2 linked regions of the Saccharomyces cerevisiae S288C genome follow. The gene in region 2 interacts genetically with the main gene of each other region. Each region holds a gene or a part of one and is shown on either strand. Other genes may lie near its edges.

Region 1 (6,968 bases), on a different chromosome or scaffold from region 2:
ATTAGTGTGGCCGTAAGCTGTCAATAAATTCTCTCTTGTTGACAGTATAATTCGTAAAATCGTTTTCATATGGGTCATCCAGTTTTATTTCTTCGTGTAACGCAGTATTTTCTGTGCTCGATGACAAGTTTGACGTAGAAGCTGATCTCAAACTACTCGTTTCTTTGCGCGATAGCGTCAGTGGATACATAAAACTATAGGAAGGATCTCTGACCATCCCATAATTCACCTTTTCGCCGCTGAAAATGACGGGGACATTGGTATATGCAGTGCTCTGCTTTTTTGGACGCAAAGTCCCCATACTAGCGTTCAATTGCCTTCTGTATGCTGGTGTGTACCCTGCCTTGGCGGTTTTTTCTTGGCAGGGTTTAAGATCCTGGTTTGCTTCCTTTTCGTTTATCGTGGAAGCTTCACTTGAGCTGTTAATTTCGGCTTTAAAACCATCATATACCGACACTGCCACTTCTTCCATTACCATCTTCTCCAAATCAGCATCTCTAATCTCTTCTTTTTTGTAACGTCGTTGTAATTTACACCAAAATATCAGGGCTATTATTACGCCCACAGCAATTGGAATCCCAACTGCCGTTCCCACTGCCACAGACACATTGCCCATCTTTATTCAATAGTCTGTTTTGATGATTGAAAAGTAGATTGTTTTGAGCTAAAAATTCGATGCTTTCTGTGCTTATTTTGAAATTTATTAATGAATCTGTCCATCTCCAAATCTTAGTTCTTAACTAGGAAATTTGTCAACACGACCACCGCCCGAAAAGGGAAAATATTTCCCTTTTGAGAAGCGATTGCGAATATTGTCCATTTCTTTATATAAGCTCCACAACTACATAAAATACTAAGTCTTCACTATATATTTTGAATATCGTTCAGCATAGCATGCGTTCTCTCTAGTAAAACGTGATCTTCATCCTTTCTCGTTTTTACATCTCCTTCATGTACGTTAATGGCTATTTCATTGAGTTTTGTACTCTTTCTTCTTCTTAGAGGTTCTGGATCCTTCTTTACTTCGCGTAATTTAGATATGAGTAGATCAACAGCATCCCTGTTTACTTTTTCACCATCGTTTTCATCACTTCCATTGCTTTTCTTATTACTGCTTGTCCTCATATCTAACAAGCTCTTCCTTTGTTCGTACACTCTTTCCATTTCCTCCTTTTCAATGTTTTCCTTGGCACATTTCTTAAACATGGCTAAAAATTCAATAAAGGGTTGGAAAAATTCGTTTTTACTCTCTTTATCTTTGGGATCTTCACCGTAATATTTCATCAGTTTATTCAAATCTATTAAAGTTAATTTACATTGACCAATCAATAATTCACTTTTTGTTTTGGCCCGATTAATCTTAAACTTGACCTTTTTAATAATTTGATCTCTGGGGTCTAAGTTCTCCTCTTTGGATAGCTTTCCTACTTGAAACTGAGTAACTAAATCCTCAATTTTTTTATGAAATTCATGACACTCTGATTCAACGTGTTCTAGTGAGATTTTACCTAAATCTTCAATGTTCTTCAAATCATCCACAAAACCGTATATATCAGGATATTTTATTCTTATGACTTTTTCAATAAAATGCAAAAATGATACATTTTGATCAATACTGGATCTGACAAAGGCAAGTTTAGTCAATGACTTCAATTTGATACCCTTAACAATTCTTTTATTCATATGATTGCCTATTTCCGTGATAATAAACATCAAACTTTTAAATTTAGGTGAACGATTTAAGTGTGAAATTGCATCATCAATTTTTTGTAACTTGAAAATCAAATCGTAATAATCTCTCTCGTATGTTGACAATGTCAGCAGACTCTTTGATCTTGCATTCCAATAAAATCTTAAATTGATACACAACTCCAAAAATATTCTGTCAGCTCTTTGTAAGTCACTTACTGCTTTACCATCCTTACCCTGTGAATATGGCTCGTACTTATTAAGCATACTTTTTGGTATATTTACTAACTCTTCTTTACAAAAAAATTTCAGTATGTTAACATTTTGGACAATGTCGTTATCACAGTTCAATACTTTCATAACAAATTCCATATCAGATAATTGGGAAAACATGTGTAAATTAATACCAAATTGCTGAGCCAAATCTCTTGATAAGAATGAAATTTTCTTCAGCTCATTGGAAGACTTGCCATTGTTTGAAGACAAGGCAATTGAGGATTCTGCGTTCCTTTTATTTGCAATCTTAGTCGGACTTTTCATCTTAAAAATATCTTCAATCTGAGAGAATATACCATCAGTTTGTAATTCTTTGATTGTTTCTTGGCGTTGAAACGTGTCTTCCCAAAGTGTGTCTTTGATATCCTCCACCTTATCCCAGTGGATTTGCTTCAATCGCTTTTCAGTTGGAGGTGGTTTTAAATCGGTTGTCGTTGGATTGATAGACACTGAGGAGGAAGAAAGAAGACCATTTGGTAAAGGTGGAGCTGGAGGAGTAACTAAATCGTGATTGGAGGGGCCTTTGTTCATCGACAAGGACTCGGGTAAAGGCGGTGGCGGTGGTGGTGGTGGAACGGCGCCACAAGTTTTAGTTTTAAATAGATCTGGAAGGGGTGGCGGTGCAGGTGCTGCAATACAGGAAACACCATCCGGTTTAGCTTCTGCTTCAGTCAAAAGAGACTGTGGAAGTGGAGGAGGGGGAGGTGGAGGAGGGGGCGGTGGAAGTTGAGGTAGTTTAACAACTTCAGGTACTAGTTGGATTCCATTATCAAGACTATCTGAGGAAAGTCGAGGGAAAAGTTTTGGTGAAGAAGAAACCGAAGACAACACGGGAGACGATTGGTAATTAGGTTGTGTTCCTAGGCTATTTGAAAATTCCAACTCTGAAAGTATCGAATTTAGAGAGACATTTTGCATATTAGTAATATTTTTCATAGAAGGGATATTAAAATTAATGGTTGACGTAGATCTTTGAAATAATGAGTCTTTTGATTTATCTTCGGATTCATTTTGGGACTCATTTTCGTTATTTGCATCAGTTAAATATGATGAAAGGGACGTAACTCTTTTACTTTTTAGTAGACTAGTTGAACGCTTGGGCAGAGAAATTTTTTGCTGCTGCTGTTGCTTTTTTGCTAAATTTTGGAAAATGATATTTCCATGACTATTATTTTTTATTATCGAGCCGGCAATACTCAAGTTGCTACTTGCCAATGAAGGTGGCTGGTCATATAACCTTTGATGCGTGGTAATTTGGTCTAGTCTTTTCTTGGTTGCCTTCAACTGCAGTTTCAGATTTTCAATTTCCTTGGTTTTCAGAGATATCAAAGATTCACTTTCATCTAGTTTTGCTATTAAATGATCTTTATCATGATTTTCTACTAAATTTAATTTTTCATTCAAATGAGAAATCTTAGCATTAAGATCATCAATTTCTGTGACCGCTCTTCTAGCAATTTCATCAGATTGTAGAGAATCCAACAATTTATTAACAGAATCTTGAAAAACATAATCCACATTTTCTGCGGACTCCAAGGTTTCATCAAAAGAAGGATTCGTTGACACTTGAAAGGAATCTATGAGATAAAACAGCAAAGAATTTATCAATTTTAATAGTTTAATAGATTCTGAGTATGGTTTTTGAGAGTCTAAGATTTTCCACAGCGATTGAATAATCTCGTTTATTGGTGCCTCTACGGGACTATCTTTTGCCTTCAATAACAGGCAATTTTCAAGACATAGAGGCTCGCTTTCTATTCTTGCGATATCTTTTGTTGGGTGAAGCGAATTCGTATCGTTGGTAGTTTTTATCATCGAGTCAAATATCGCAGATTCTTTGGATTTGAATTGTTTTATTTGTTCCATGATCACGACACTATTAGGATCATCTTTATAGGCCAGTTCTAAAAATGTGATAGTGTTATGTATATTATTCTTTTTCAAAAAATTCAAAATTTCTAGTGCAGTCTTGTTGTTGAAACCTTGCAGTATGGAGTTTATTAGCAGTAGGAAAGTTGTCGAATAGTCTATTTTTAATTGGTTCCAGTTCAAATAAAGGGATGAATGAATTGCAATATCATCCGCAAGGATTTTGTCAAACCATTCTAGCCAATCGGTGAATAATATGGAAAGCTGGTCCCATATCAACTCACAACCCGTGGAACCCTCAACATACGTTAATAATAAAAGTAACTCCATAGAAAGTAACTGACATTTCAAATTAGAATTTTGATCCGTCAGAAGCTCGGTGAACCAGCGAATTAAAGGCTCAGAATGTAGTGCTCTTATTCTCGCCAGTGGGTTGTTCATCAGTATTTTAAAGCACCGAAGATAAACAAATTGTAATTCCTTGGATATGAGTGGCAAAGTCTTTTCGATCAATGTCGTCAAGTAAATTTCATCCTTGAGAAAAAGTTGCAAAAAGCTTTGCTTTCGCAGGAATTTTTCTAGTTTATATAGAGCCTTCGATAACTTCATGCCACCTGTTGAAAGGTTTCTAACTAGGCCATCCAAAAAGTGTGCGTTTTCAGCTAGTTCATTAGTGGCCAAATGTGTAGAGTATGTCGTGCTCGAAGTCACTTTCTTTTTCCCCCAATGATTGGAACTACGGATTTTACATATCAATAACCATTTCCTTCGTAGAGAGATGTTTTGTAAATTCTTATAAGCAGCCCCCCAAAAAAAAGTTCCATCTTTTAAAAGCTCATCAAACATTCTTTCGACGAGTGATGCGTCCTGAGGCATGCACTTCGGATTAAAATCCATTTCCGATCCGTTCACTTCTTCGGAAACCATTGGTGACGAAGAAACGTCATTAGCTGAGAAATTCTTCTGTTTCATGTATATATGTGATCCTGTACCTTGTTTCTCTAACGCTACACCGACCAACTGCAAGCCAGCGGCAACCAGCCCATCGTTCAAATTCAATTCTTCCAATTTACGGGCTTCGCTGACCCTATCACGCGCGTGAAGTGACAGCGATCTGCGAGGGTAGCGGTACGTCTTCTTGTTCGGGGAAGAGTCCATCGCTGATGATTGTGCTATTTTTTTATCTGCTTTTGTGTCACGATCATCATCACTATGTAATCTTCAAAAGATCAAGAATTTGCTAGTTTTGAACCTATGCCACAAATAGCGAAAAAAGAAAAAAAACTTGACGCGTCAACATGAGGAGGGTAATGATGTGGTAGCGCCGTGTAAGGCGCTATCAAAGGGAAACGGGGATAATAGTATTAACACCGCAGCTTTTTTTTCCTTTCTCCCTCTATTGGTTTCAAATTTATTGGAGTTTTACTAGAAAGAAGAGATATAAATAGGGTATACTTTTGCATCTCAGTTCTATTGAAATCGAATGGTTATTTCTTGTGGCTCTGAGTACAGAGTGAATATAACACTACATAAAAGCAATGTCTCAAAGACTACAAAGTATCAAGGATCATTTGGTGGAGAGCGCCATGGGTAAGGGTGAATCGAAGAGGAAGAACTCGTTGCTGGAGAAAAGACCCGAAGATGTAGTTATTGTGGCTGCTAACAGGTCTGCCATCGGTAAAGGTTTTAAAGGTGCCTTCAAAGATGTAAACACAGACTACTTATTATACAACTTTCTCAATGAGTTCATCGGGAGGTTTCCGGAACCTTTGAGGGCTGATTTGAACTTAATCGAAGAAGTTGCCTGTGGAAATGTTCTCAATGTTGGAGCCGGTGCTACAGAACACAGGGCTGCATGCTTGGCAAGTGGGATTCCCTACTCGACGCCATTTGTCGCTTTAAACAGACAATGTTCTTCAGGTTTAACGGCGGTGAACGATATTGCCAACAAGATTAAGGTTGGGCAAATTGATATTGGTTTGGCGCTGGGAGTGGAATCAATGACCAATAACTACAAAAACGTCAATCCCTTGGGCATGATCTCCTCTGAAGAGCTGCAAAAAAACCGAGAAGCGAAGAAATGTCTAATACCAATGGGCATTACTAATGAGAATGTTGCCGCTAATTTCAAGATCAGTAGAAAGGATCAAGACGAGTTCGCTGCGAATTCATATCAAAAAGCTTACAAGGCGAAAAATGAGGGGCTTTTCGAAGATGAAATTTTACCTATAAAATTACCAGATGGCTCAATTTGCCAGTCGGACGAAGGGCCACGCCCTAACGTCACTGCGGAGTCGCTTTCAAGCATCAGGCCTGCCTTTATCAAAGACAGAGGAACCACAACTGCGGGCAATGCATCCCAGGTCTCCGATGGTGTGGCAGGTGTCTTGTTAGCCCGCAGGTCCGTAGCCAACCAGTTAAATCTGCCTGTGCTAGGTCGCTACATCGATTTTCAAACAGTGGGGGTTCCCCCTGAAATCATGGGTGTGGGCCCTGCATACGCCATACCAAAAGTCCTGGAAGCTACTGGCTTGCAAGTCCAAGATATCGATATTTTTGAAATAAATGAAGCATTCGCGGCCCAAGCATTATACTGCATCCATAAACTGGGCATCGATTTGAATAAAGTAAATCCAAGAGGTGGTGCAATCGCGTTAGGCCATCCCTTGGGTTGTACTGGCGCAAGGCAAGTAGCTACCATACTAAGAGAACTGAAAAAGGATCAAATCGGGGTTGTTAGTATGTGTATCGGTACTGGTATGGGTGCCGCCGCCATCTTTATTAAAGAATAGTTTTAATACTTGATAATAGTTAATATTCTCCCTTTTTATTATGCTCATATTTATATGGTTTTGTAAAAGCTATTACGTAGTTTATCAATTTGTTTATAATTTTCCATTTTCAATATTTCTAACTCACTAACCAAATAGTTTATTTGAGATAATATCCTCCAGTCCTCCTTAACCAATTGACGGGCTTTCCAGTTGAAATTCGCTATCACGGTGTCCATGTAAGAGGAAACTTCTTCATTACTTTTCATCGTTAGTTTTATTGGGGCCTTTGGATAATCCAAAGGTATGTTGAATAAAATTTTCAAAGAAATCTTACCGGAGTCTGTCATGGGGGAGATTCGA
Region 2 (6,498 bases):
GTCCTGGAAGTGAAATTGTAGGTCACCAATAGCGTTAATTGGTATATTTCTTTTTTGAGCATCAACTACGTTTATGTCAGGATTAGATGATGCTGAGTGTATGTGATGAGCAGATCTTATAAGGGTTCGTGATGCTCCTGAATCGAGAAGGAGGTGTCCAGGGAGTTCATCATCAGAATGATTAGTATGATTTACTGTAGATTCAGTAAGTTTCTGGCCTAAGATGAAGGTCGTGCTTATTGTTCAATTGAATCGGTTCAGTAGTTGATTTACTGATGGAATCGTTGTCCGTGCTGGGAGAGTTATTAGATGTGGATACATTGTGAGCCCTGGCTGTTTTCGATTTCGAATTATTTGTTTTTTGAGGATTCCGAGCTATAACTTTGGGTTTGGTTGTATTCGTATAGCTGCGAGAATCATTCTTCTCATCACTCGGATTTCTCCTGTAATTAGGTTTACTGTTTCTCGATCCCTGTTGTTCTTCATAAATAGCATGGATATCTAAGAACAGTTCAGCGACTGTCATATTTAGATGTCGATGACGTGTGTAGCGTAAAAATTTATATTCGCCAGATAGACCTCTCATAATTAATTGGCATGCGACCTTGTTATTGATATGAATGCCATTATTGTTCAGTCTGTCGATAATGTTTGTGACTTTTGTTTCAAATGCATCTGCAGGTGTACTGCCATTATATTGCAAATTTGCCAGGGTCACAATGTCGTTTGCCTCTTGGGTATCAGATTGCATTTTTTCAATACTTTTGGAAAGAATTTTCATGATATCCGTATAATCAACGGATAGGATGTCTTTGACCCAGGTAGGTAGGAATTGAGAGGGAGCAAATATTTGAAAAGTGTTATACAAGAAGGTGAGTTCATCATCAGTGATCTGACGTACGGGTTTTCCGTTTACTGTCGGAATAATACCACCGAGATTCGAGTTTTGTAAAAATTTGATGTATGTTTTAACCCAATTTGGAAAGTCATTAGGTGAGGTTAACATTGGTGGTGGTCTGACATATTTTTTAGTGGATGTCATATCAGAGTCCGCTGAGGATGAATCAGTAAATGTATTACCTGACTCAGGTGATGGAGTGCTCAGAGGCGTTCCAACTGATGATGGATACTGCGGAAACTGTGATTGTGGCCCAGGTGGAAAGTACATAGGCGACATTTGATAAGGTGTATACGGAATCATAGATGGGTGTCCGTAAAATGACCAACCAGATGGATTGGCTTGGTTTTGGGTCATCATGCACTGCTGTGGGTACGGCCCATTCTGTGGTGAATGTGACTGAGCAGTTTGAGGAGAGGCATGATGGGGGTTCTCTGGAACAGCTGATGAAGCAGGTGTTGTTGTCTGTTGAGAGTTAGCCTTAGTGGAAGCCTTCTCACATTCTTCTGTTTTGGAAGCTGAAACGTCTAACGGATCTTGATTTGTGTGGACTTCCTTAGAAGTAACCGAAGCACAGGCGCTACCATGAGAAATGGGTGAATGTTGAGATAATTGTTGGGATTCCATTGTTGATAAAGGCTATAATATTAGGTATACAGAATATACTAGAAGTTCTCCTCGAGGATATAGGAATCCTCAAAATGGAATCTATATTTCTACATACTAATATTACGATTATTCCTCATTCCGTTTTATATGTTTATATTCATTGATCCTATTACATTATCAATCCTTGCGTTTCAGCTTCCACTAATTTAGATGACTATTTCTCATCATTTGCGTCATCTTCTAACACCGTATATGATAATATACTAGTAATGTAAATACTAGTTAGTAGATGATAGTTGATTTCTATTCCAACAGGTTCTTATTTTCAACAATGTAATTGATGGCCTTAAATCTCTACTACATCATAAAGCTTCTAAGCACTTACCATTCCTTCATAAGTCTAGTATTGTAATGAGTTGGGCACATGGCGCAGTTGGTAGCGCGCTTCCCTTGCAAGGAAGAGGTCATCGGTTCGATTCCGGTTGCGTCCAAATTTTTTTGTTAATCCAACACAATTGAATTCGTGAATAGCTGACTGTCATCAGTAATGTTCGTGGAAAGTACCTATCCATACTGTTGTATCACGACTAAGTAGTTGTCGACTACTACCTCCTCAACCCCAGTTATATCCCTATGACACATTGGAGGATGCTGAATAATGACAGAATTTTATTCCTCCTTTTCATTATCATAATCTGAAGCAAAGTTAAAAAATAGAAGAAGTAAGATAAACTTTGTAGATACGATATATAGTTGTTTGTTTTAGCTATCATATATGCTGAACTGTTACTACCTTATTTTTTCCGAAATGTTTCTAAAACAAATAAATATTCATGAATATGATGCAAGTTCGTTGGATGAGAAAAAGACCAGGCTTTATTGTAAGGACAATATCATTTACGAATAATTTCATCCAATTGTTTCATCAACACATCCATTCTGTCAAAAACTGGAGCATAGAGATGTTGAACCAAAGAATTGGGCTTCGAAGCCGGATCGGACATATTGGTATTAGACAATGCCCTTGATCCGGAAAGTGAACTATTTATGCTTGCTGATGATACCGCCCTTTGTTCATCCATATAAAAATCTTCTTCAGATGATGAGTGTAACGATAAGGTTGATTGCTTTTCTTCTTCGGGGGTACTGTGATGTTTTTCTAGCTCCTCTTTAGGTTGTTCTGCGTCAGTTTGATTTGCCATTCCTCCACTAGACCCCAAGCTGGCTTGAATTTGCCCCTCTGTGTTTTCCACGTTTGTTGTCTCTTCAATTTTCGATTTTGCATGAATATATTGTGAAATGTCCTTTATTGCTCTAGATGATGGAATACTGCTGCTTTCTTCAACTATTGGAGTGGATGGTGATTCGTTTGTCCATTCTGACGACGACGGTGAAAACTCGCCAATTGTTGAAAGGGAATTTTGAGAGTCTGATTTTGCCATACCATTCGCAAATGGCATACGAGGCGCTTCAAATACTTTTTTCAGATCGGTATCGTAATCACTGTCAACCGGTTCAGACTTTTCTTGCCCCACATACCGATTTGCATTATAATCATCTTCTCTGTCTTTACTCGATGATGTCTTAGGCTCACTTTCGTTTTTGTTGTCTTGTCTCCGAACTTTTTTCACATTTAGTGGTGTATTCAAAGATGTACTAAAGGAGACGTCGCTCACTACATCGCTCGTATCATCATCCTGGAATTTGCCAAAATTTAACTTCGCTTCAGTGTATTCGTCCCGGTGCGTTACTTTTGTTTCCTTGTCGTTATCAACATCATCGTCGTACGACTGTCCATTGCCTTCACCGCCATCATCGTTACTATCTAACGAGGTATCTTCAATTGCATCATCTATAAACCTGTCTGCATAACCGACAACATCATTGAAACTAACAGATTTGTTCCCCTTACCATATCCATTCAGTGCAGGTGTCGGAATTATACTCTCTGCATCACTTTGATTCTTGTTACCAGAGCTGATGGAATCATCTTTCGAATCGGAGGAAGCAACCGATTGAGAAGACATGTTTTCATTTTTCCAGCAATTCAATCGAGCTAGTCTTTCTGGAAAGGTTTCTAGAATTTCCGCTGGCGCAAACCCGATTTTACCATCAGTGATCCTCTTAACCAGCCACCAATAGGCATCCTGGTCATTCAAAAGTATACAAGGTTCGTCTTGCCCTAATTGACAATGTGAAGAATCATGGCCATTGAACGCATATAAAGCATATAGTTTATCAGGGTCCAGTTCTCTTGGCGGCGATAAGGGTTGGTAATCGTCGTTTTCCTCCTCCAAATCGTCTTTCTCCCCTTGAAACCCTGAATCTTGAAATTTTCTGTCAAAGTCATCGTCATCAGAGTAGTTTTCCTCTTCATCCTCGTCCTCCGAGATGGCGTATTTCAAGCCATCACTAAAATCGTCAACGTCAGGGTTCATTGTATTATTCACTGAAAAATGCACCTCATCCTTATCGGCGCTATCCACGGAATCAGTTTCGATCTCTTGTAGCCTTCTTTCCAAATTGTCCTCAAATTCAGAATCCGAATAATCATATGAGTCGGGCAATTCCGAAGAATTTTCTTTGTAATGTCGCTGATCCCTTTTACTGTTGCTATGCATATGTTTTTCCACGTTCTCCTCCTCTAACTCTTTGTCATCATCTCTATTTCGCAGAACATCATGGCCCTTTTCTGCCGCATTACTCAGTATATTAAGTTTCGAATTGAAGGGCGAACTCTTATTCGAAGTCGGAGTCACCACAACACTTCCGCCCATACTCTCCGAATCCTCGTTTCCTAAAGTAAGTTTACTTCCACTTGTAGGCCTATTATTAATGATATCTGAATAATCCTCTATTAGGGTTGGATCATTCAGTAGCGCGTGCGATTGAAAGGAGTCCATGCCCGACGTCGACGTGATTAGCGAAGGCGCGTAACCATTGTCATGTCTAGCAGCTATAGAACTAACCTCCTTGACACCACTTGCGGAAGTCTCATCAACATGCTCTTCCTTATTACTCATTCTCTTACCAAGCAGAGAATGTTATCTAAAAACTACGTGTATTTCACCTCTTTCTCGACTTGAACACGTCCAACTCCTTAAGTACTACCACAGCCAGGAAAGAATGGATCCAGTTCTACACGATAGCAAAGCAGAAAACACAACCAGCGTACCCCTGTAGAAGCTTCTTTGTTTACAGCACTTGATCCATGTAGCCATACTCGAAATTTCAACTCATCTGAAACTTTTCCTGAAGGTTGAAAAAGAATGCCATAAGGGTCACCCGAAGCTTATTCACGAGTCAGTCTGACTCTTGCGAGAGATGAGGATGTAATAATACTAATCTCGAAGATGCCATCTAATACATATAGACATACATATATATATATATACATTCTATATATTCTTACCCAGATTCTTTGAGGTAAGACGGTTGGGTTTTATCTTTTGCAGTTGGTACTATTAAGAACAATCGAATCATAAGCATTGCTTACAAAGAATACACATACGAAATATTAACGATAATGTCAATTACGAAGACTGAACTGGACGGTATATTGCCATTGGTGGCCAGAGGTAAAGTTAGAGACATATATGAGGTAGACGCTGGTACGTTGCTGTTTGTTGCTACGGATCGTATCTCTGCATATGACGTTATTATGGAAAACAGCATTCCTGAAAAGGGGATCCTATTGACCAAACTGTCAGAGTTCTGGTTCAAGTTCCTGTCCAACGATGTTCGTAATCATTTGGTCGACATCGCCCCAGGTAAGACTATTTTCGATTATCTACCTGCAAAATTGAGCGAACCAAAGTACAAAACGCAACTAGAAGACCGCTCTCTATTGGTTCACAAACATAAACTAATTCCATTGGAAGTAATTGTCAGAGGCTACATCACCGGATCTGCTTGGAAAGAGTACGTAAAAACAGGTACTGTGCATGGTTTGAAACAACCTCAAGGACTTAAAGAATCTCAAGAGTTCCCAGAACCAATCTTCACCCCATCGACCAAGGCTGAACAAGGTGAACATGACGAAAACATCTCTCCTGCCCAGGCCGCTGAGCTGGTGGGTGAAGATTTGTCACGTAGAGTGGCAGAACTGGCTGTAAAACTGTACTCCAAGTGCAAAGATTATGCTAAGGAGAAGGGCATCATCATCGCAGACACTAAATTCGAATTCGGTATTGACGAAAAGACCAATGAAATTATTCTAGTGGACGAGGTGCTAACGCCAGACTCCTCTAGATTCTGGAACGGTGCCTCTTATAAGGTAGGAGAATCCCAAGATTCTTACGATAAGCAATTTTTAAGAGACTGGCTTACTGCTAATAAGTTGAACGGTGTTAACGGCGTCAAAATGCCCCAAGACATTGTCGACAGGACAAGGGCCAAATATATAGAGGCTTATGAAACATTGACAGGGTCTAAATGGTCTCACTAACGTGATTTACATATACTACAAGTCGCCAGTGTAACTCCTCACTGAATATGATTCATACATACCCGTATGTATTAATGTATAAATGTTCTCAGAGCAAATTTTATCGATATCTTGTTTGCCAGTGGTATGCAGGTTTGGCAAATTTTTTACCATAATATCCGTTTATAGATTCTGGAACCTTACCAACTTTCTTACCGCTAATTACTTCCCTGGCTCGCTCCTCCACTGCCTGGGTAAATTGTTCCTTCAACTGACTCAGTTCTCTTTCGTATTCAATAGCTTGCTTCTCGAGGATTTTTTCAATGTTTGTCAGCTCATTTTCATAGTCCAGTAACTTCCTTTCAAATCTCTCTAATTGCAACGACTTTCTTGCAGTTCGTATCTGAATATCTTGCAGTAATTCAAAAGTGGAAGGCCTGGTTCTTAAGTTCACATCTATCATTGAATGTATTATGGCATTAAGCCCTCTAGAGTAATACTCAGGGACGGTGTCACATTTCCCGTTTTTAATCTTAGTTTGTAGCTCGAGATAATTTTTTGCCTG

The links. A genetic interaction does not mean that the proteins touch.
Region 1: of BUD14 (region 2) and BNR1, a mutation in one rescues a mutant of the other (synthetic rescue), as found in Saccharomyces cerevisiae (3 studies listed by BioGRID, with this or other methods).

The regions. Positions count from the first base shown.
Region 1 is NC_001141.2:39,849-46,816, reverse strand, and holds BNR1 (formin BNR1), read right to left. Parts: upstream 4,993-6,968; coding exon 865-4,992; downstream 1-864. Other genes in the region: AIM20 (Aim20p), read right to left, coding at 2-616; POT1 (acetyl-CoA C-acyltransferase), read left to right, coding at 5,373-6,626; SMU2 (Smu2p), read right to left, coding at 6,677-6,968. UniProt on the Saccharomyces cerevisiae protein: May organize microtubules by mediating spindle positioning and movement in the budding process. Potential target of the RHO family members.
Region 2 is NC_001133.9:164,342-170,839, forward strand, and holds BUD14 (protein phosphatase regulator BUD14), read right to left. Parts: upstream 4,531-6,498; coding exon 2,401-4,530; downstream 1-2,400. Other genes in the region: YAR010C (gag protein), read right to left, coding at 203-1,525; ADE1 (phosphoribosylaminoimidazolesuccinocarboxamide synthase), read left to right, coding at 5,034-5,954; serine/threonine protein kinase KIN3, read right to left, coding at 6,055-6,498. UniProt on the Saccharomyces cerevisiae protein: Important for bud site selection. Seems to be a regulatory subunit of the BUD14-GLC7 type-I phosphatase complex. The BUD14-GLC7 complex is necessary to regulate microtubule dynamics at the cortex and may function as a specific activator of the dynein complex.